Linked DNA regions of Alligator mississippiensis. The protein of the gene in region 2 interacts with the protein of the main gene of each other region in a pairwise test. Links are inferred from orthologs where the notes say so. Each region holds a gene or a part of one and is shown on either strand. Other genes may lie near its edges.

Region 1 (7,900 bases), on a different chromosome or scaffold from region 2:
GACCCTGCCCCTCCAACCCACCCACACCCAGGCAAAACCAGGACTCCAAGGCTCAAGCCCCACCCCTTCAGCAGGGAAGGGAGATAAACAAGGCGGGTAGGGTCACGGGGAAGGATCTGTGGGGGGGGGGGAAATCTGCAGCACTCCCCCATGGAGCCACCCACATACATACCCCCATGCCAGCCCACAGCAGTGCCCCCAGGCCCCAGCCCTTATTCACTGGACAGAAGACAGCCCTAGACAGACTCAGTGGCAGGCACTTCCTGGCCCAGATCAGGGCTGAGCCCAACCCCCCACCACCACCACCACCACCACCACCACCACCACCACGGTGTCCTGCCCCCGAACTCTGCCCTGCCCCCAGGCCCCGAACTGCCACCCCCCTCCCATCCACACACATACCCCACCTAGCACCCCTGGCCCTTGGGCAGACCCCCGCAGCTGTCTGGCCTCAATTCTCCCTCCTCTGTACCTCCCAAACCTTGGTCCCACACCCCACCTTTGTTCCCTCCTTTCTCCCAGGGGTACCAAACACCCTCCAGGCTACCCACTCCCTTCCCTCTTCACCCCAAGGGCTACATGTCCTTGCTCCCACAACCCTCCTGGGATGCCAAACACACACCCATCCCCACCAGGCAACTGCCAGAAACCTACTGCATCTCAGCCTCCGTCCACCCTGACAAGTCTGCACCCCACCCCCCACAACTCCCCACCTCTCACAGCCCCAATTGCCCCCTTCCCCCAGCACAATAGCTCTCCCTACAATTCCCCATGTACCCCCTCCATCCCCCCAAAGGCTCTCCCATAACTACCCCCAGTCCTGTTCCTCACAGCACCTGCCACCACCCCTCCCCCTCACACCCCCCAGCCCTCCCAAACATGCACCCCCTCCCCTAAAAGCCCTCCCCCCCAACCTGCTCCTCACAGCCCCCACCCCCCACACACACACACACACACACACAATTGTGCTTCACATCACATCCCTCCTTCAGGTCCCTCCTCTCCTTCAGGGCTGCCAAATATGAAGCCCCTCCCCCAAGTCCCTCAACCCCTTCACCCTCGGCTGCCCCCCACATCAGACCCCCCACCCCAAGGGCTGTCAAACACATGCTCCTCCTCCAACAGTCCCCCAAACAACTGCCCGTCCTCACAAGGGCTGCTGAACCTGTCCTCCTGCCCCACAGAGCCCTTCCCCGTCAGCCCCAGCCCTCCTCTCCACAGCCCCCCCCTCAGCCTTTCCTGCCCCAAATAACTGCCCTCCAACAGCTCCTCAAGCGACTGTTCCTGCTCTTCCCTCACACACACACACAAAGAGTACCCCCCACAAACCCCCCAGTAAAACTGCACCACCACACCTCTCCCACCAGGGCAGCTAAACCCCCACACACACACCCCCCTCAGCTCCCCAGGGCTGTCAAACCTGCCCTCTCCCCTGGCACTGCCCCCCATTCCTCTCAGCCTCCTTACAACTGCCCCCAAACCTCTCCCCCACACATACACACACACACACAACTGCCCCTTCCCCCTCCGCTGCCCCCCCTCTGCTGCCAAACACACCCCTCCCCTCCAACCAGCCCCCATCTACTTCTCAAGGCCCCCCCCCTTTCCCAGGTTGCCAAACATGCTCCCGCTACCCAAAACAGCCACCCCCACAGCTGCTCCTTACAGCTCCCCTCCCTACACACCTGTCCCCAACCCTCCCCCACACACACACCTGCAGCCCCTCAACCCCCCCCCAGGGCTGCTGAACCTGCCCCCCCCCCAACAACCCTCCAACTACTCCTAACTGCCCCCACCCCTCCCCCCTCATACACCAAGCCCCCAAGGACCAGGAGTGCTAGGAGGTGTGTGTAGGGGGGCAGGTCAGGGCCTGGGGGAGGGGAAGAGTTTAGACACCCTCACACACAGAACTGCCTCTGCTCACTCACAACTTCCCCCAGGCTGCCAGATGTTCACTGCCCCCCCCTCCCCAAGCTTCTCCTTACAGCACCCCCACACAGCAGTCCTGTTTCCCCTCACACCCCCCACATCTGCTGAACCTGCCCCCCTCCCAACAGCCCCTACCTCACTCCTCCCTCAGACAGCTGCCCCCATCATGTCTCCTCCAGAACTGCCAAACACACCCCCAGAGCTGCTCCCCCAGCCCACCAGGGCTGCCAAACATGCGCACCTCCCCCCAAACAGGCCCCCAGCACTGCTCACCAGCCCCCCACTGCCTGCACAGCCCCTAACCTGTCCTCCTTCACAATAACCCTCTATGTACACCTCACAGGTACCCACAACACCTCTTCCCCTGCCCACCCACAGCCCCCAGGGTAGCCAAGCAATTCTTGCCTCCCCCAGTTGCCCATCACACCCCACTCCACAAACAGCGACCCAAGGGCTTCCCCTCCCAGCGCCCCCTCGACATCCGCCTCCTCCATCCCCCTCACAGCCCCCCCCCCCGCTCAATAAGCCTCTATCGACTCTCCACAGGCCCCCACGCACCACCCCGCCCCCCACCTCCTCACGGTTCACAGTTCCCCGCGGCCGCCAGGCGCACCCCAACCGTCCGCCACAACTGCGCCTCCATTGCCCTCACACCCGCTCACCGCTCTGGGGGCCGTCGGCCCGAGCGGCCCCCGCCGCCTCCGCGCCATGGCCGTGCCCACTGTGGTTGAGCCGGGCAGTTAACGGCCGCCGCGCGCGAGCGTTCCCCGGGGAGGGGAGGGGCGGGGCGGGGGGAAGGGAGGGTGCAGAGGCGGCTGCGGAGGCTCGCGCCGGAAGCGGAAGCGGCGCCCGCGCAAGACCGAGGAAGGGGAGCAAGTGGGAAGAGGCGGGTGCGGCCACGTGACCCGCGGAGGAGGAGCCGAGCAAGTGACGTAACGAGAGGCTCAGCGTGAACACCTGACCCGGGGATATGGGGCACGTGACCCTTGGGAGAGGTGGGAATGCACACGGGCCCCGACGGGAAAGGGGCAGGGCTTTCCACCCAGGCCACGCCCACAGCAAAGAGGCGGGCTAGTGGGCGGTAGCAGTGGGCAGGCACCACAGTGCCTTTATGGGAGCATGGGGAGGGCAACCTCCCTTTCCATGTCCCCCTGCCCCCGCCCTCACCAGTGTCCCCTACTCCCCAGTATAATCCCCATACATTCCAGTGCTCCCCTACACACACCCCTCTCCCCAGGGGGTCACTACCCCCAGACCCCAACACACAGACCCAAGGCAGCTCGTTAACTGGCCAACTTTATTAACTAGGGTCACCCCCTGCCTCTCCCCCCCCCCCAATGCCAGGAGGAGGACAGGAGGGCACTTAGAAACAGCACGGACCCAGAGATCCACTCCCCCCAAAGTGCAGGTGATGGGGGCATATACCTGCCCCTGTCCCCTGGGCTAGGAATCAGCCCCCTCATAACAGGGGGGAACAGGGGCCCAGCTCAGGCTCTTCCTATGGCAGAGACAAGGATAGGGCTGCAGTAGTCATTCATGCCTCTCCCCAGTTAGGCCAGGGGTAGGGATGGGGGAAATACCTTGCTCCCCCCTCAGACCCCACCACCACTTCCTTTTTTTTATTATTCAAAATTTGTAAGAAAGAGGAAGAGAAAAAAAAGTATAAAGAAAAACTGAGTTAAAAAAATAAAGGATCAGAGCTGTTCGAGCACCCGGCATCACCTCACAGGGACCCTGAGGGGAGAAAGAAAGAGGGGTGTCAGAGGGGGCTTGGGACTGGAATACAGCCAGCTCTGGGGTGGAAGAGCTAGGAAACAGCCAAGTATAATACTGCATGGGGAGAACCGAGATGCAGGCAGCTCTGGAGTGCAGATGGGAATGGATGGGTTTAATGCCCCAGATGGAGGGCTGAGACACCACTGGCTCTGGGGTAAAACAGCTGGGGACTGGCAGAGCATAACACTGCATGGAGATGGACAGGATGCAGTGAAGCTCTAGGGTGCAGCATCTGAGGAATGCCTAGACATAATGCTGCATAGCAAGGGCCTAGATGCAGCTAGCCCCGGGGTGCAGCAATTTGCAAACGGCTCAGTACAACACTACATAGCAAGAACTGAGATGCGGCCAGCTTTGGGGTGGAGCAGCTTGGGAACAGTGGAGTATAACACTGTATAGCAAAGCTTGAGACGTGGCTGACTCTGAGGTTAAGCAGCCAAGTGTAACAACACGTGTGGGAAGGAAAGATGCAACCAGCTCTGGGGTAGGACAGCTGAGCGTAACACCAAAAGGGAAAGGTAAGTCACAGCTGGCTCTGGCATAAAACAGCCAAGAATGGCCAGGTAGAATGCTGCATAACAAGGGCCAAGATGTAGCCAAGCTCTGGGGAGGAACTGCTGGGAAATGGATGAATATAATACTGCATAGCAAGAGCCGAGATGCTGCCAGCTCTGGGGTGGAATGGCTAATTATAACACTGCATACAAAGGCCCCAGATCTGGGTTGGCAGTGGTGCATGGGGGGGGGGGCAGGGGCCTGTGGGGAGTTGGCAGAGGCTTATTGGTGGAGGGTGGGAGTGGGCAGCCCTGGGTAGCTATGAGGGGAATAGAGAAGGCAAGTTTTCAGTGCCCCCCCTCCTGTGCCCAGCCCCCGCCCCAAGCTCACAGTCAGCGGCGGGCAGCACTGCGCAGGTCAGTGGTGAGCGGGTCATGCTGGATGGTCTGGTGCAGCATGAGTGCCAGCAGCCCTGCCCGGTTCGTCATGGCTGCCCGCACATTGCGCTCCTGCTCAAACAGCTCGTCCAACTTGTACCACTGTGAGGGGAGGAGGGAGGGTGAATGCCCATGATCCTGCTCTCCTGCCCCATGGGCTGTACCAAGTGTGTATAGTCTAGCCCCTACTGTGGGATGTACCACCTAGTCGACATCCAGGCCCTGCCCCCCCAGCCAAGACAAAGTGGCTACACCAGACCTGACCCTCTGCGGGCTGTACCACATGCATGCCTCATATGGGCCATACCACATGGCCCTGGCCATACCAAGCAACCATAATCTGGGCCACACCCTCTGTTGGGCCCATAAACCAAAGCCCCATCCCCCCAGGCAGGCTGTACCCTGAGCACCCCCACCATGGGCAGTACCATATGGCTGTACCACATGACCATCCTCAGCCCCTGCCCTTAGGTGTGAACCATACCCCAAAGCTGTGCCCTTGGCCCCACCCTCCATGTAGGCCATACCATACAGACATCCCCACACCAGCCCTGCTAACCCTGTGGGCTGCACCACAAAGCCATATCCCAGGCCCACCCCATGGACTGTATCATAGATCTATCCCCCAGACCTCCCCGACCCCATGTGGGCTCTACCAAGTAGCCAATCCAAGGCCCCACCCCTCCATTTGGGCTATACCACCTGAATCTCAGGCCAGGCCCCGCAAGTGGTCCATACCACACAGTCACTCCCAAAGCCCTGCCCCTCCCCCACTCCAGTGGGCCGTACCACACGGACACGCTCCAGGTCAACTTCTGCGCGCCGCAGCTTCTCCCAGCAGTAGTGCCGGTTGCACTTGCGCTTGGGCACACGGCAGAAATCGCCTGTCAGCTCGAAGACGTCCCGCACCAGTGGGCACCCGCACACCTCGTCCGCGGGCACCTGGGGGGAGCAGGAAGGGGGACAAAGGAGAGGGTCAGGGAACTGCTGGCCCCACCTACCACCTCCAGGCCCCACCAATGATCCCCATCCCTCCCTCCTTCCCAGCCCACCTCAGGCCCTGCCTACAGGTTTGCAACAGCCCCACTCCTCTATACCCAATCTATTAAGCCCCACCCACACCCTTGGCCCCACCCACAACCCCTCCAGTGTCACCCCCTCCCCCCCAACCACAACTATAGTCTCTACTGCTCACCTTTCAACCAGTGCTGCACCCCACACAGGCCTCTACTGCCCCCAGCCCCATGGTGGCCACCTCACTCCTGACCCCCCCTCCAAGGCTCTGCAGTGGCCCTCACTACCAACCCACAGCACCCCCCACACACACACACTCACCACCCCCCCCCCCATGGTGCCCCTCACTTTCAACCTTCAGCTCCCCATCCTCTACCTTGGGGTCACGGGAGTGCTCGGGACACAACACCTGCAGCCGCTTGCAGTACGTCTTGCTTTGGGGGTTGTAGACGTCACAGAACAGGCGGGTGGCCCTAGGGACATGGAGAGAGGGGACAGATGGATGAGGGGTTCCATGGGACCAGCAAGCTCCCAGCTCATACCTCCCAGCCCCTGTTCCCCTCCCAGAGAACCCCCAGGCATCTGAAAGGAAATGAGAAGCAGTAGAGAGGGGAACACTGTAATGTAGGTAGGAACCAAAGTTTGGGCTTGGTGGGATGGGGGCAGTTGGGGAAGACAAACAACCAGAATTCACATAGCCCTTGGGAAAAGAATATGCTGGACACACCCCAGTGGTCCCAACTCACCCCTCGATGCGGGTGGGGTACATGGATCCAAAGGACGTCTGGCTCTCATACTGCAGAGAAGGGTGAGCAAAGAGTGGGGGTTACAGTGGAAGGGACACCTTACAGGGGCCTTGCCAAGTGCCAAGATGCAACCAGCTCTGGGGTGTAGGACAGCTAGGAAACAGCTGAGCATAACACCGTGTAGGGAGGGCTAAGATGCAACTGACTCTGGGGTGGAATGGCTGAGGATAGGCCGAATGCAGCACTACACAGGGATGGCTAAAATTTGGCCATCTCTGGGACTGGATGGCTGGGGAATAGCTGAATATAACAATGCACTGGGAAGGCCAAGTGCCCAGCTCTGGGCTGGAACACTTGCGTATAACACTGCATGGGAAGGGCTGAGATGTGCCCAGCTCTGGGCTGGGATGGCTAGGGAACAGCAGAGTTTAACACTGAACTGGCAAGGCTGAGATGCAGCCAGCTCTGGGATGGAACATCCAGAGAACAGCTAAGAATAATAATACTGTATACAGAGGGCTGAGATGCAGCCAACTCTGGGGTGGGACAGCTTGGGAACAACAGGAGTATAATGCTGTATAGGAAAGGCTGACATATGGCCAGCTGTGGGGTGGAACTGCTGAGAACACTGCATAGGGATGGCTGAGATGCTCCCAGGTCTGGGCTGGAATGGATGGGAAATGGCCAGGTATAACGCTGCACAGGGAGGGCCGAGATGCGGCCAGCTCTGGGGTGCAGCACCCGGACCAGCCAAGTATAATGCAGAAGACAGAGTACCTTGGCATAGCACCGCTCCATGTGACGCAGAGCCACCTTGGGGTTGATGGGGTGCCCACAGGAGACGCAAAAGATCTGCAGGTCCGTGTCCTCACTGTCCCCCTCGTTGCTCTGGGGGAGATGGGGAGGGAGGGAAAAATGGAAGGTGAACCCAAGCATCTGAGATCCCAGCCCCACCTGATCAAAGGTCCCAGGCTCCTCCTCCCTTCCCAGAGAACTCACATGTTTGGGCTCCCAGGACCTCCTGCTCTCACCCTACAGCCTCCACTCCCCCCCCACCCCCACCTATCCTGGGCAAGGGACCCTGGTGTCCAGGCATACACCCACCTCCTCATCCTCCTTGATAGCCTGCTGCTTAGCCCGAGCAATGACAGCCTCCAGCTCATGGAAGCGGCGCTCCATATCCTGCAACCGCAGCCGGGCGCCCTGCTGCTCCCGCCGGATGCGCTCCAGCAGCTTCTTGCCGTGCTCCTCAGCCACGCATGGGCTCTGCTGCCACTGCTGGATGCGCTGCGGCAAGATCTCATAGATTCGGCTGAGGGAGAAGGAGCAGGGGGAAGCATCAGGAGCTGGACACTGGGCTAGCTAATGGAGGGGGATCCAAGGGATCCTCAAAGCCAGGTGGACCCCCCACCTCCCCTACAGAGGGAAGGGGCAAGAGATAGACATAAAAAGGGGAGCCCAGGGGCGTGGGGACTTCTCTAAGGGGGGGGGCAGGGCTTACTT
Region 2 (7,643 bases):
ATGCCACTTAACATGCAGAAGGACTGGAGGCTGAGTGAATCCTTCCAGGGTTAAAACCTGGCATTCCAAGGAGTTCTAGTTTATTGAGCAGAGGTGATGGCTACTCAGCTACCTCCTTGCCATAGGAAGCCCTTATAAACAGAAGCTTTAACACAAAGGCGAAGCCAAATGCTTGCACTCCTTACTGACTTCAAAGAGAATTTGAGCCCTCAGGATAGCAGGTCATAGTCCAGATTCTTCCTCGATTTTTAAAGTTTTTTTGGCGATGTAAGGCTTTATCCCATTTTGCCCTCTCCGCTCCCCAACAACAGGCCACACCTTTGGGATGACTCAACATCCCCCTGGCCACTGGATCCTGGAGGCAGCTTAGCAAGACCAGGAGCAGCAGGAGGCTGGGTAAGAGGGATTCATGTAAGAGCTTTCCATTCTGTTCAGGCTGCACTGACTTTGCAAGCACCACCCTATTTACTTGCCCCAAGGGAGCCTTCCTTCTGAGCCTCCCGGGTGTGAGGAACAGTGGTGCCAGTGTATAGCAGACTGTTCCTTCACATCTCCCTCCCCACAAACCCCACCGCCATAGGGAACACAGAACTGCATTTCCAACCTGAATCCACGCTCATGACATCATCATCATCCTCGTCTGGAATTTCAATCACTTCCGTGGGCTTGGAAGCCGAGTCCTCATCTTCAGAGCTGCTCTCACGATACTGAAGCCCTAGCTTGGAGTAGAGATCTTTTACCAGCACCTCACATTTATTGATGGCTCTGCGGTACAGCGGGAAAAAAGGAGGAAGCAGAGACAGATCCATGGTGAGTGCAGCTGTTATCTCTACAGTAATCACAAAAAGAAGAGACATTTTTGCATAGCAGCATCTGGGGCTACTCAGCAGCTGGTGCTCCCTTAAATCACTCAGCAGAAATAGGACATAGCCTCAATCATAACTGGAGATTCAAAGCCACGGCAAAAAGATCTTAGCCATCCATCTCTGAGAGTTACGCATGTCGACAACTGAATACCGCACCACATGGTTCTTGAACCCCTCCTGGAAAAGTCTGGCTGCAGGAATACTGCCAAAAAAGTCAGCGGTAGAGCAGGAAATAGGAACTGGGGGTGCCTACATACGAGCAGTGAGGCTGCTCTGACATGCTGTAATTATAGCTCATCAGAGTAGACTGGATTGAGTCTGCTGGAGCATGGTAATTACTGCACTCCAGCAGCCTCCAGCATCTCATGTATCCGTGTCCCCCCACTTAAAAATGGTGGCAGGGGCTCATTCGACAAGCTTTAGATAAAGTGCCCTGCCACCATTTTTAAGCACAGGGACACTGATGTGCAAGATGCTCTGGGCACTTTAATTAAAGCGACGCTTGTAGCCGCTCCACTTAAAGCGCTTCCCCTGAGCATGTGTATAAACGCCCTTTGAGTCCAGACACCCTAGTCCTTGCTCTGCCCATTCCGCCAGACACCAGCACAAAGCCGCCACTGCCCACCTTGAGGCGTCATCAAAGAGCTGGTCCACGTGAGCTACTTCTGCCTCTTTCTGCTTAACGTTCTTTTCCAGCTCTTCCAGCTGCTTCTTTCGTTGCTTCACGCACTCGAGTTTCTCCAGCTCCTCGTCAATGAACTGCTGGAGATCTTCCATGGAGATGCCCAGCTCCTCCATCACTTCCTGCTGCAGCTCTCCAATCTCCTGGGAATCCATTTCTGCTGAGAGTGAAGCCAGGAGGAGATAAGAGGCTCGTGAGCTTTCCAAACCACGTTGTACATTCCCTGATCTGCAGCTTTAGTATTTTTTTCTCTCTCTTGTATTGAGTACACCACACAGCCTCCTCAACTCACTCATGGGGAAGAGATAAGTGCTTCACTTAAAGCTATGAGCCTGGTTACCTGGACACCTTATTTAGGTGAAAACTGCCTGCCCTGGCAATGCTTGCTGCTGCGTGAAAGCAAACTGCTGCTCAAAGCAACTTGATGGAACAAGCCATGAAGTCTGCTTTATGTTTACGGCATCCTTTCATCTACGAGAGACAGTGGATGCTGCAGCCTATGATGCAGATGGCTTGCAATGTCTCATGTGACTGAATAGTTTGATCTGAGATCTGCATGATCTGTGGCCAAGAAATCAAAACGTATCTAATGCCATTACACAGCACAAAGCTTCTCTCCAGCTCAGGAGTTATGGAGGCTGCTTTGGAAACGGTGCCTGAGCACATCACACAGGTGACAGCTCAGACAGCAGCACCTGGCGCCCCTGGAGCGGGTTGGAGTCCTATGGAGAAACACTGCGTTTCCGTGCGGGCAGCACCTGGTAGCGCCAGCGCAGCGGCCAGGGAGACGCCTACCACAGTGGGTGGGCAGACAGACGAGAGAGCTGGGGGCACGGCAGAAGTCAGTCCCAGCTTGGGCAGCGTCTCCCCTCCCTCTCCTCTGCCTCCTCCGTTGTGCCCTCTCCACCCTCAGCAGCCTCCTGGCCAAGCCCCCTGCCCCCTACTCCCAGGCTCCTATTGCCCCCTTCAGCCCCTGGCTCCAAGCCCCGCCCCCTGACACTAGGCCCCACCCCCTATTGTCCCTGACTGTCCTATACAGGCCCCTGGCTAAAGGCCCCGCCCGCAGCCCCGTTTCCGCTAACTGCCCCTACAGGCCCCTGGCCCCAAGCCCCGCCCCACCCCTTAGGTCCCGCCCCAAGCCCCGCCTCCTAGTTCCTCCGGGTGCCCTACAGTCCCCGGCCCCGTCCGTAGCCCACTGCAGCGGATACCCCCGGCCTCCGCCAGCCCCGCCGCAGCCCCCGGCCGCGCTCACCGCTCCCTGCAACGCGGCTGGCGAGGGCCGGGCTCCTTTCCAGGGCGCTGCACTGAGGGGCCCCGACACCACTTCCGGCGACGGTGGCCCGAGCGGACCAAACCTCCCCTCGAGAGGCGGCCGCGAAAGCAGGGGACAGCACTACACAGGCACTCTCGGGCGGAAATACCTCCGCGGCGCCAGCGCGCATGCGCTTAGGCCAGCTAGTTAAAGGTGTAGCAGCTATGTTTGGTGTCGGTCGGTCTGATCGGAGAGAGGAGGTTTCTTAAAGGGGCAGTGTAGGGGTGGAGGCTTTGGGGCTCAAGGTGATAGAGTGAGTCAGTGGCAGAGCCAGGAATGGACTCCAGGACTAGTTCCTGGCTGGCCAGCTCGGGCACCTCCCCTGAAGTCCCTGGGGACCATTCACGGGAGAGGACTGAATGCCAGACCCCAGGGTAGGTTCCCGGAGGGGCTGCGTCCTGCCCTTGCTGTAGAGCCTGGTCCGCTCTGGAGTAACAACCTACTGCTGCTGGTACTGCAGGGTCTCTTCCATGGGCTTGAGTGGTCTGGACTCCACAGCCCAGATGCCCTGGGTTGCAAGCCTCTGTAGCCCCTGCATCATGGGCATGGGGCAGTACCTGAGCCCTGTGTGCGGAGAAAGAAGAGACCCTCATGTGGAGGATGCCGGTCACCTCCTGCAGAGCTGCCCATTGCAATGGGTGCAGTAGTACAGGGTGGAAGGCACCAGGTCCCTGCACCCTGCCCGGACCCCAGCTTCTCCCACCTCATCAGGCTGCTGTGGCAGGGGATGCTCACCTCCCCAAGATGGCACAAAGCTGGCATCATGACATCCTCCCCTGCAGGCTTCGTCCTCAAAGCCAGCACAACTGCAGGCAGAGTTGAAAGCAGGGGATCATCGCTCTGCTGTAGCAACAGGGATGACCAGGATGGCAGGAGCCTGAAGAGCTCACTTCACGGAGCTTGACTGCCAACTACCCACCTGTGTAGGCTGCCGATCAGTTGATCTGCTCCTCCTCCCAGGTGGAGGTGGGGATGGCACGGTAGGGGTCCACCACCAGCCTGGCGCACCGCACCATCATGGCCATCAAGAAGAGGCACATGAGCACGACAAAGCCGATGGCGAAGCCCTTGTCTACGTCGACGTACGGCTGCACGGTGGCGCTCTCCATAGGGCCCTGGAGGCGCTCTCACGCCTGGAGCAGCCCCTGGGGCCTGGTTGCTGCCTGCAGGGCACAGTAGGGGATGGGGAATTAGCACTGCTGAGTGGGGCACAGCTGTACCAGGGAAGCATCAGGTCTCTGCCACAGCCTGGCTCATCATGGGAATGGGAGCACTGTGGCAGTGCTAAGTGGCAGTGCCTGCTGTCTCCATTGTCCATTATCTCCAGCCCCAGGTGAGAAGCATGTCCTTGCACTTACTCCCAGGATGGTGAGCTCATCCCCTTAAGCAGCTCCCAGGGGGCTGGGGGATCCCTGCCTGCTGTGCCAGCCACATGCCCAGCCTCTTGGCAAGGGACAACCCTTACCCACTATGCCTCTAATTTAGTTGGTCTAGTGATTCTCAGCCAGGGTGCCATGGCACTTTGGGGGGGGCCTTGAGATCTTTTCAAGGATGCCGTGGGGTGCTACATAATGTTCTCACTGTTGTGTACAAATGTGATTCACAGGATAAACCCAGAGATTTCGCATAAGAATCCAGAGCATCAAAAACGTCTTGCCCTCATGTGGGCTTTCTGGGTTCTTTGCAACAGAAGAATTGCTTTAGTATTTTTCCTTAGTTAAAAAATTAGTGAAAACAAAGCTGGTGTTTTTTGAGCAGGGCTTCAAACCTGTCAAGGGGTGCCTTGCATCTAAAAAGTTTGAGAACCACTGACTTGGCTTACAAGGTACAACTCTACCCTGTCTTTTAGCACTTATCTCTGGGCATGGGTGCTCAGGAACAGGTGAAGTTCCCTGATGGGTTACCAGGGGGCAGGGAAGGTGGCTGAGATGATGGGAGATGGATGATGGGAACAGCATCATGAGTTCAAAGTGGCAGAGTGGGAAGCTTCTCACCAATCTGCAACCCGCTAGGCTATGGCCCTGTGCCCTCTCCTGCTCCAGCTGTCTGCCCCCCCCCCCCTTTGTCAAGGAGAGAATTGGAGTAAATTAGAGCAGCCTTCAAGATGCTCCTTCACTTAGCTGCTTGCGGCCCCAGGGCCAGAGGTGAGCAGTGAGCCTGGTAACGCTGCAGTGCATCCAGGGCTGAGTCTGGGGAAGCCCAGGCAGGTGATGGACTTTGGCTCTCTTTTGGATGTTGTTGCTAAATCTCCTTGATCCTTAATTATAACTAGGGCTTCTTTGGCAATCCTTAGCAGATTAGATTGGATTGAATTGGACAATATCATGTTATCAGGCATTGGTTTATTAAATGCTGGCATGTTCCAGATAGAGATGAGGCAAATTGTTTAACAGTGAGAGCGCTTGACCCCTGAGACCAACAGCTGGGGAGGGAGGCTCTGATCAAGACTGGAGCCTTGATGGAAGACCAAGTTAAGCCGCCAAAGGTGTTGCTATCTCTGCAGGAGTTCCAGGATGTAATGCCAAAGCTCAGAAGAGATGATCTATTGCAGGGGTTTGAAACACCCCATGCACTGGGCTGGATCTGACTGGCAGGTCGGCAGTGCTGGGTGATAGAATCATAGAATTGAAGGACCGGAATAGACCTGCAAGATCATCAAGTCCGGTCCCCCATCGTGGGCAGGAAATTATTGGGCTCAGACAAGCTCAGCAAGGTGCTTGTCCAGTCGCATTTTGAACACCTCCAAGATGAGGTATAGCAGACCCCACACTTGGCTTGCCTTGCCCCCAGCTTCTCAGCCCCTCCAGCTATGAGCTGGAGCCCATGGGCCATATATTTGACACCCCTGATCTAATGGATACTTTTGATCTTAACAAAAAAGGAACAGGACTAGGAACAACAGCCTCAAGCTGCAGCAGGGGAAATTGAGGTCAGAAATGAGGAACTTTCTGATTCTGAAGGTGGTGAAGCATTGGAACAGGCTGCCTAGAGAAGTAGTGGAGTCTCCATCCTTGGAAGTTGTCAACAGCAGGTTGGACAGACGTTTGGTTGGGGTTATTTAGTCAGGGATGCTCCTGCCTCGAATAGGGGGCTGGACTAGATGTGGCCCTGTGAGGTCCCTTCCAGCCTGACTTTCCTAGGATCTCTCGCAACCCCTTTTCTGTGATGTCAGTTCAAGGTGCTTGGCTAGGGCATGTGGACAGGATTAGGTTCATGCAGGTGCCAATAAGCTTCATTACCTGCTGGAATCGAGATAACAGGCTTGTATTTCTATATTACAAGGCAATGCACAAATGTGGTGTGAAGGATCTGAGGCACTGTTGCAGGCTCACAAGCGCGAGAGGTCCATAAAGGCTAGGAACGGGCATTGCGTTTGTCCCTGAACATGTTTTGCCCATGTTTGTCTTGGGATTGGCACGAATACACATCACCTTTTCCACTGGGGTTTAGTGAGCAGCTAAATGTACTGCTGCTTTTCTGCCATTGATTCAATTATATAATCCCAGGCCATCTGTTCAAACACATTTTTGCGATGTCTTGGGAGCAGAGCAGCAGATCAAGCGAGGGAAGAGGATCCAAGTGACAGGATGTATGACTTACCTTATGGCAGGTCTGCCATTCATTTGACCCCACTGGATTAACTGAATCAGAGAGACATCAGCTTTCATGCATACAGTCTCACTTCATCAGATGCTGTATGAGCTCTTGCTCATGAAAGCTGATGCCTCTCTGATTCAGTTAGTCTGTAAGGTGCATCTCTGCCCTGCCTTCTGCTACGTAGCTGCTACTTCAGACCCATGAATCTACCTACCTCTCTTCCCATAACAGGCTAAATTTTCTCAGTGAATAACAGAGCCTTTTACTAAACAAATCGAACATTTACCACCAAAATCTAGGCCTAGCCTACACTGGAAAGAACAGGCCTGTATAGCAAACCATTCTGGTCCAGCTGTGGGTTATTGCTGTAAAAGAATACTGCTCATGCCCATTTGTGGGAGGAAATAAGCCATGCTACCAAGGGAATTTTTTTGAGTGCTCTATGACTGCATTTTCTCTTTACCTTTGCCTAGGTGAATGCAGTGTCTTTCTTTTTGTACTCCTGACAGAGCCTGGCAGGCAAAGCTGTTGGGTGTAGATCAGTGGTTCTCTACCTTTTTAGACTCTACCACCTTGCCTTGGGAAATGCCAGCTTTTTGCTCTCACTCGTTTTTGATGCCAGAAAAATGCTAGAGCAATTCTTGTGGTGCAGAGAACTCAGAGAGCCCACAGCAGGGCAGAGCATTTGTGACACTAATGGATTCCTATTTGAAATCTCTGGGTGTGCGTTGTGTGTAAGTGTTTGCATGCCTACCAGGGCTAATACTGCGTGGCACCCTTAAAAGGATCTCTCGGTACCCCAGAGTACAGTTGAGAATCACTGGTGTCGATGCACGGAGCAGGCTTCAATGCTTTGGACTATTGATGAAATCTTTTGATTTGAAGCTTTGGGTATTCTTTTGTGACTTTGTTATTGATCTGCCATTCTTTTCAGTGATGGTTGCATTTTGGGCCCCTATATTCTGTGTGAATGAGTGGAAAATGGCCCTTCTTTTAGCCTTACTACTTTTCCTTATTTTTGAAATTCTGTTCTAAACACAAAAGTATCAGGTTGTTTGCTAACAATTCCCCTACAGCGGTGATTCTCAGCCATGGTGCTGTGACACCGTGGGGTATCTTGAGGTCCTTTCAAGGGCGCTGCAGGGTGCCCCTCAATGTTAGCACTGGTCACTGTGCAAACGTGATT
Region 3 (7,823 bases), on a different chromosome or scaffold from region 2:
CATAAAATAAAAGTATTAAAACTGTGCATACAATATTGTACTTCATTTTGTGACATAGTTGCATGGCAACTGCTAGTTAACATATACAAAAGGGATATATAGCCCATTTGTAAAGTTGACATGTTCTTACCTCTCATCCTCACCATCAACAAGGTGTGTTGTCAGCGGCAGTACCTTCAGAGGAAAAAGGGAAGCAGAGGACGTTATGCTGCTGCCACTCCCATCTGAAAGACCTGATGCTCCAACACCACTTTCACCACTAGCAGCTTGAGGTAAACCAACTAAGGAAGGCTCTGTAGGGCGCCTGCCATCTTCAATTTGGCTTACAATTGACTGAGTTAGTGACTGTGCAGGGAACTGGGTGGAGCTTAGTGGTACCTGTTGCGGCACACTTGGTGCTACTGGCATACCTATACTTGTTGATATCACGGAAGGCTGAGCAACACTTTGAACCAAATTCCCATTTTGTACAGTTGAAGCTTGTGCTATATTGTGTGGTGGACCCATACTTATAGAAGCAGAAGGTATACCAGGAGGGATATTTGAACTAGGTTGGCTTGGAGCAGGAACAGTACTAGCAGAAGGTATAGGACTAACTGCAGGCAACTGCTGGCTGGTCATTCCTTGCGCTACAGATTCTACGGCCTGTGCCTGTGGTTGTACAGGTAACAAAGTACTTTGCTGAGCAATGATCATTTGCTGAGGAAGGCTTGGGCCACCAGACTGTAGTCCTTGCTGCATTATCCCAGTCTGAACAGGCTGCACCACTTGTGAAGCTGGAGGAGCAGTGCTTGGTTGCATAACTGAAGGAGGAATTTGGTTTGCACCAGGTGCCTGCTGCACAACTGTAGGTACACTTACTTGTTGTCCAACATTCATAATCTGACCACTAGTACCTACCGCTGGCATTGCTGTTTGAGCATGTGCAACAGGCTGGGCTGGTGTCACGGCAGGGTGTGCTTGTACTGAAGGCTGCATGCTTGGTGCCTGAGCAACAGGAACTGGCGTGCCTGTTCCTACTGCTGTAGTACCAGACTGCATGGCAGGTGCTGAAGTCTGAAGTATCTGTTGGTGTTGCATGTAGTCTGGCATAGTCCCTGTAACAGAGTTTTGACTCACTTGTTTAACAAGCCCTGGGGCCATCTGTGTAGGAACTGCTTGTTGTTGCTGCTGTTGTTGTCCATACTGTAATTGCTGCTGTTGTACAACTGGCAAAGTTTGCACAGGTTGTGCTGGCTGAGAATATGGTAGTTGTTGTTGAGCCATACTCTGCATGGCAGGTTGTTGGTGGCCTAAAGCTGAAGATACACCTACTATATTAACTGGGGTTGATTGAACTCCAGTAACGGTGGTTAGGCTGGCCGACACAGGAGGCTGGACCCCTTGCTTTTGCTGCGAATAGTTTACTTCTTGGGCATGCAGCTGGACTTGAGCAAGCTGTGACTGAGAAACACTCTGTGGTATACTGGATGCTGGAATAGGCTGAGGACCAGCACTGCTAAAATCCATCTGCTGTGGACCCACACCTTGAAATGCTTGCTGTTGAACCACAGTAGGTGCTCCCATTTCTCCACTTCCCACACTTTCTGTGTAGTGACTCAGTGTGCTTACACTGCTGCTAACAGAACTCCCACTGGTGCTCTCCCTTTCAGAAGTCACTTCAAGTGGGTTTTGTTTTATAGTCTCTACCGCTTTGTTTACTGCTACTCCTTCTGTAACTGCAACAGTGTTGTCTTTATCATAGAATTCAGTGCATGTCCATCTCCCCTTTTTAAAAGGTTCGGAGCTGGAATCTAATTTTACAACTCTAAACCTTGACGTGCCAGCTGCAGGCTGCTGCTGACTTGATCCCAGTCCTGCTGTTGGATTAGTAACATTGTTAATGACATTAGAGGAAGCACTCGTACCATTGCCAATACCACTCAAGATATTCACATTAACACTGCTGCCAGTTCCAGACAAAGCATTTACGTTACCAGTACTTGTAATGTTGTTTAAATTTACAGTACCAGCCATGCCGCTCGTCACACCAGAGCTACCACCACCCATATTACTTAACGTACTAGTTCCAGTAACAGGACTCACACCTATATTGCCAGGAGTACTTGTAGTGCGGATACTGGACATGACAGATGCCGGGCTACCAGTGGATGATGCAGCAGAAACTGGTGCAGTTGTTATAACATTGTCAGAGCTTCCAGTTGTGGACAGTTTTCTAAAGGATGGACTGGGAGGTGGTCCTCCAGAGGCTGGTGTGCTGCCCACTCCAGGAGCAGATGGATGGTGATGGCCATGGTGATGGAGGGGATGGTGGTGGTGAACGTGATGCGGGTGAACACTCCCATTGATCACAACGCTCTGCTGGGCAGGGTGAGGCAAAGGAGGGTGCTGCTGAGAAAGGTGAGGCTGGTTTGGAGAGACAGCCCCTGGAGTCTCAGCCTCTTGGAAGTTGTTTAAAGTCTCTTCAGAGGAGCTCCGTTCGGGTTCCCCCAAGTCAGTGGCCCTGGAGAGCGAAACATCCAGGATTTCGGAAGATGACAGGTCTTCCGTGTGGGACTCATCCAGATCGTCGTAGCTTTCCGTGTCCTCGGCTATGCTGTTGTTGGAGCTGATGCTGGCCGAGATCTGGGCCGGGGTCACGCTAGTGATCTGGAAGCCGCTTTTCTTCTTCATTTGTGCTCCGGCCTGGCCCAGAGGCTGCTGCGGGAGCGGTGCCTGCGGGAGGAGGTTCAGGCTCTGTGGAGGAGGAGGTGCCGGCTGGGGACCCGGCGAGGCAGACGCTGCTGCGGGAGACGCAGGCAGCAGCGGCTGGCCCAGCAGAGGTGGCTGATACTCCTCCGCGGAGAGGGCAACACCGCCGGCACCGGCGCTGGGAGGGGGGACGCTGCCACTACCAGTGGTGCTGCTGCTGCTGCTGCCCCTTCGAGGGAACATCGCCGGGTGCGCCATCTTCCTCCTCGCGCTGCTGCTGCTGCTGCTGCTGTCTGCGGCTGAGTCAGGCTGGCGCATTGTAGCGGGGTTATTTTAGGAGCGCGGTTCCCCGGCAGAGACACGGAGACGGAGAGACAGACAGGCACGCAGTTAGCTTGGCACGGGGCGCACCGCGCGCGCACACACACCCCTCCCCCCCCAACCCACCCCCCCCCCCACACGCGCGCGCGCGCAGGCCGGGCCGAGCCGCCCCCGGGGCGAGCAGCGAGGCCGCGGCCGGGCGGGGCGGGGCGGGGCGGATACGTACGGGCCTGGCTGTGGCGCGGGCGGCCGGGGCCGGGCAGGGGCATCGCCGTCAGTGGCAGCCATGGAGCCGAGTCATGTTGCCTTTAAAGAGACCGAAGGGGGGGGCGGCACCGCCCCGCCGCGCCGCGCAGCCCCTTCTCCGCGCCGCTGCCTGCGCAGACGCCCCGAGCGGGCTGCTCCAGCCTGCCGCGCTGCCCGGCGGCTCGCTCCCTGTCACGGCGCGTCCCCCCAGCTCCGCGCGCGGCGCTGGAGGACGGCGCTGGGCCGGCTGGGAGGGGGGAGGAGGAGGAGGCGCTGATCTAAGATGGCGGCCGCGCAGGCGCGCGGGGCCCGCAGACATAAAGCCCGTCTGGAGACGGCGGGCGGCGGAAAAGGCCGAGCGTTGACGAAGTCGCGCCAACCAATCCGGGTGAGGGGCGGGGCTTCGCGGCGGCCATTAGCGGAGTGGCCCAGCAGCTCGGCGCGCCCCTGCAGTGGGGGTGGTGCTTCTTCCCCTCCCCCCTCTGCCTGCAGCATGACTCCGACTCGTGTGCCCCTCTGTCTCCGGTTGCAGATGCGGGTTCTCTGCTGCCTGTTTTTTTCAAGCTATTTTTTGCCTCCCCCCGGTCAGGGAGAAGAAACTTGAGCCGGGAGCCAGGGCTGTATTTTTCCACCCGCGCGTGCCTCTTTTGTGCAGCCGCCTGCAGTTGCCATGTGGCTGCTCGCTGCGCTGTCCCCAGGGCGGGCTGGGGGAGGGGGGAGTCCAGCCTTCATTGGCTCGGGGAGAGCCGGGCGCTGCAGCGAGGGGAGATGTTTCTAGAGTGATTCCTGCTTCCAGGAGGCTGGCTGGGAGGCAGGGGCTAGGGGCAGAGCTTCTGAAGTCCAGCCCAGGACCCTCACCCACTTCCACGCACCTGACGTGAACGAAGCATAAGCAGGTGGAGAAACCAACTCTAAGAGAATTACAAAACACCCCCCCCCCCCGGAGGGTTTGCAATTCAGTTGTTCCTCCATACCAGCATACTGTTAGTACAAGATCAACTCGTTGTTCAGAGCCTGGATGGTAAAGATCAGTGCCTAGGCTACAGAGCTGGTACAATTTGATGATTTGCTGCTTTAGACACAGCCCGGACCGTAAAGATCCTTCCTGCCGTGCTGTGGGCTGCAGAGTGGATAGGGTTTGATGTGAAGGATGACATGATCAAATGCTATTCAGTTTCATAGGTTTTACCTTTATTGTAGACAAGTTTCATAGACATTAGGGCTGGAAGGGACTAATAAAAGTTGATCTAATAAAAGATATCACATCTACCTGAAGAACCTCAGTTGCTCTAGATGCTCAAAGCTGCTTTTCACGGTAGGCGTTCTTTAAAACAACAAAAAAACCCAACATGGACATGCGGCTATTTTCAAGTGGCTTAAGTCCATTGTATTAAAATGCAGTATGTATCAATTCTTCTTGAAACAGCAGGTATACCTGTAAAAACGCAGCAGAGCAATAAGTTTGCATCTTACTGGTGATGCAATTAAAGAGATGTCTAAACTATGAAGGGAAATCATTTTTGTATTTTGCTTGGTGGATACAGCTGGCAACCTACAGAGGAGGAAAGCTCTCCGTGTTCTTATACAAACAGAAAGCTGAAGATGAGTGCGCCCAACTATATGCCCACAATGACTTTGGTCTACATTTACACAAGGACTCTCTGGTGCCTAAGTGTCACTTCTGGTGTCAAAGGAAAAATGGTTAGATCCTCAAAATTCTCATTCAGCTACCATGTAACCCTAGCGGCACCTGCAGCCCCTAGGAGCCTAATACTTTGCCAGTAAAGTTTCTTAAGTACCTACGGTGCCAACCAGCTAGGACCCTCAGATTTCACAATCTATACATTGCCCTGCCTATGGAACTTGATCTAGTAGTTAGATCAACCCTATCAAACTGGCCTCTGCACAAAACAGACAGAGGAAGAAGTTCCTCCCTTTTACCCAGTAATCCAGTGAGATGTGGGAAACAAATTTAAAAATCTCCTGTACTAGAGAGGATTTGAAGCCATATCTTTCACTTCCCAGGAGAGAATCCTAGCCACCAGGCTAGAAAATATTCTGGAATGGGATGAGGGAAAGCCCAATCCTTCCTGTTGAAGCTGTTCCATACTACATGCAATAATTAAGTATTAATTCATCCAGATGACAGCGTGAGAGAAATATTCTCTGTTGCAGTGGTTAGAGTGCTCACTGGGGATGAGAAGGAGCTTGGGTATAATCCCTGTTCCACTGAATTTTTAAGCATCCCATGCAAAATAAGTAGCTTCAACAGGGGAGACCATCACTGAATGTCAAGGGCACTCTTGTAGGATATTTAGGTTCAAGACCTGTCAGGCAGAGGAAGGATTTGTCTCCCATACCCTTGATGAGCTATTGAGTATTGTTGTAAAAGGAGAAATGACACCACTTCCTCTTCCAGATATGTTTTGTGAAAAGGAGCTGGTTTATGTGCATTACTTTAGAAGACGATTCATAATCGTGAATCCCAAGTGGAAAGAACTCCCCCACAATCCTGGAGTTAACTAAGTACCTAAAAAGGGGAGCACTTGCTCCCCGTCCATCTGTCACCTTTACTTTTCCTACCATCTTGCTCTATGTGAAGATGACATGATCTGCTTCTTTATACACAGCCTGGATGGTAAAGATCTTTCCCTCCATGCTGTAGGCTACAGAGATCTCTGCTTGGCAGGCAGGCTTTGTGGATCTCATTCTGATGCATCTAAGGAACGTAGGCAATCAAGTGAGGACAGTGGATTCTACTAGATGACACAGCCCATACAAGTTAGGCACTTGATCACATTGTAGTGCCTATGTTCATTCTTGCACCTCATCCTTTGTCTATATATGGGAAATTGCATTAGGTTAGAAAATACATTTAAGTAGCATCATGTTAAATTTGGTTTTACCTTTACTGTAGGCAAGGCAGTTGAATTTTAAAACTATTAATAGTAGGGAACTGTGGATCCTCTAGATCATAGTGTACGCATAAGAGGTCTAGTCAGGTGCCTGATGAATCCATTTGTATGGAGTCCTGCGACCATCACTTTCGACGTACATGTCTTGGCAAGAGTATGGAGGAGTGGAGGCTGCCCTAGGCCTGCCATCCCCTCTTTAGACCACTAAGACAGCGTCCAAAGGCCAAACTGAGTCCAGACATTTAGTGCCTTGATGACTAGCTTCTGCCAGAGAGCAACAGATAAGAACTGCTGCTGACTGCCTAACACTTCATAGAGGGCGCACTTCTGTCAGGGTGATGTCCCTTAGCCTTTCTCCAACCAAGGAGTGCCCACAAGGCAGTGGGGGCTAGGGTTTTGAGGTGCCCTATACTTGCCTTACTCTGGAGGTTGCAGCGTTGTGGTATTTTATAGGAGCTACCCCCACACGAGTAGCCCCACCACATTGCCACCAGACTTCCAGTTGGATGCAGCTTATGGTCATACCCAGGACATACTTAATATACACATTTACAAATGCTTCCCTGTATAGACCAGGTCTGCATAAGGAAAAAAATATATTAAGACCTAACATTTAAGCCTGCATTAGACTCGTCACAGAAAGACAATCTGCATGGAACTCTGCTGATTACAGCAAAGCTTCACAAAAAGTGCAGGATCTGTCCACAGGCAGCTTATTGTAGGATAGGGGGAAAACACACATGTGTTTTCTTATAACAGCACTGCTCACATGCTGAAATTTAAATATGGGCATAAATGTTTGCAGCTATGGTTGCAAGTCGGCCCATCATAAATTCCTGTTCTGAGTGCTTATATCTTTCTCAAATATTCTCCAATGGGCTCAAATTTTCCATTAGTCTGAGCTCAAAGCCAATTTCTCTGAATGTTTGACTAGAATCCAACTATTCAGTTTTCAGATACATGATCAGTGAGGAACAGAACATTTTTCCCAACTTTACAAGTAATAAAACATTTAACTGTACATGAATAACTGGAACATGACTGAAGTTCCAATTTTGTATGTAAGTACTACTACTCAATGAGAAATTGGGTAAGTTTGAAAAAAACACTTTAAAATACTAAAGTTATAACTGCTTAAATATTTTTTTTTTTTGCCTATACAGTTAGACATCCTATCTGTCATTTTATATTTTAGGAGGTACTTTTGCTACTGCAAATCAGAAACTGAAAGAAAAATAGAAGTTTAAATATCAATGTTAATACATCCATACCAAGTTAAAAGTTTGCTTGAATCTAAGGGCCAATCAAGTTAGTGTGATCAAGGCACACCTGCTTCTGAAGGCAAAGGCATGCAAAGGAGCGATATGAGTAGCATTATATCTGTCTACTTTTAACTTCACAGCTAGAATGTCTAGGCACCCATTTACAGCTAGGTCAACAAAGGGAGGTGGTGTTGTCCCCTTCCTTGGAAATATCCAAAAGGAGATTGGACAGACACCTGGCTGGGGTCATCTGACCCCAGTGCTCTGTTCTGCCCAGAGCAGGAGGTTGGACTCGAAGGGACCTAATAGGTCTCTTCCAACCCTAATAACTATGAAACTATGAAACTGCCTTTAGCATGAGTCCAGACATTGCCAGGCTAACATTGGC

The links. The genes of interacting proteins can lie anywhere in the genome.
Region 1: the proteins of SETDB1 (region 2) and MBD1 interact in binary tests that used the Homo sapiens proteins (3 or more experiments, as listed by UniProt). The link is inferred for Alligator mississippiensis from reciprocal best matches to the Homo sapiens genes SETDB1 and MBD1.
Region 3: the proteins of SETDB1 (region 2) and TSC22D1 interact in a two-hybrid assay, tested with the Homo sapiens proteins (2 studies listed by BioGRID and IntAct). The link is inferred for Alligator mississippiensis from reciprocal best matches to the Homo sapiens genes SETDB1 and TSC22D1.

The regions. Positions count from the first base shown.
Region 1 is NC_081831.1:27,516,346-27,524,245, forward strand, and holds the start of MBD1 (methyl-CpG-binding domain protein 1), read right to left. Parts: upstream 3,010-7,900; 5' UTR 2,640-3,009; coding exon 2,592-2,639; intron 1-2,591. Other genes in the region: CXXC1 (CXXC-type zinc finger protein 1), read right to left, coding at 4,593-4,739, 5,427-5,579, 6,028-6,124, 6,398-6,447, 7,175-7,285, 7,502-7,709, 7,899-7,900. UniProt on the Homo sapiens protein: Transcriptional repressor that binds CpG islands in promoters where the DNA is methylated at position 5 of cytosine within CpG dinucleotides. Binding is abolished by the presence of 7-mG that is produced by DNA damage by methylmethanesulfonate (MMS).
Region 2 is NC_081838.1:19,311,719-19,319,361, reverse strand, and holds the start of SETDB1 (histone-lysine N-methyltransferase SETDB1), read right to left. Parts: upstream 3,006-7,643; 5' UTR 2,991-3,005; coding exon 2,801-2,990; intron 2,452-2,800; exon of another isoform or gene 2,307-2,451; intron 1,709-2,306; coding exon 1,492-1,708; intron 766-1,491; coding exon 605-765; intron 1-604. Other genes in the region: CTXND2 (cortexin domain containing 2), read right to left, coding at 3,796-3,969. UniProt on the Homo sapiens protein: Histone methyltransferase that specifically trimethylates 'Lys-9' of histone H3. H3 'Lys-9' trimethylation represents a specific tag for epigenetic transcriptional repression by recruiting HP1 (CBX1, CBX3 and/or CBX5) proteins to methylated histones.
Region 3 is NC_081824.1:410,614,819-410,622,641, forward strand, and holds the start of TSC22D1 (TSC22 domain family protein 1), read right to left. Parts: upstream 3,010-7,823; coding exon 131-3,009; intron 1-130. UniProt on the Homo sapiens protein: Transcriptional repressor. Acts on the C-type natriuretic peptide (CNP) promoter. Acts to promote CASP3-mediated apoptosis.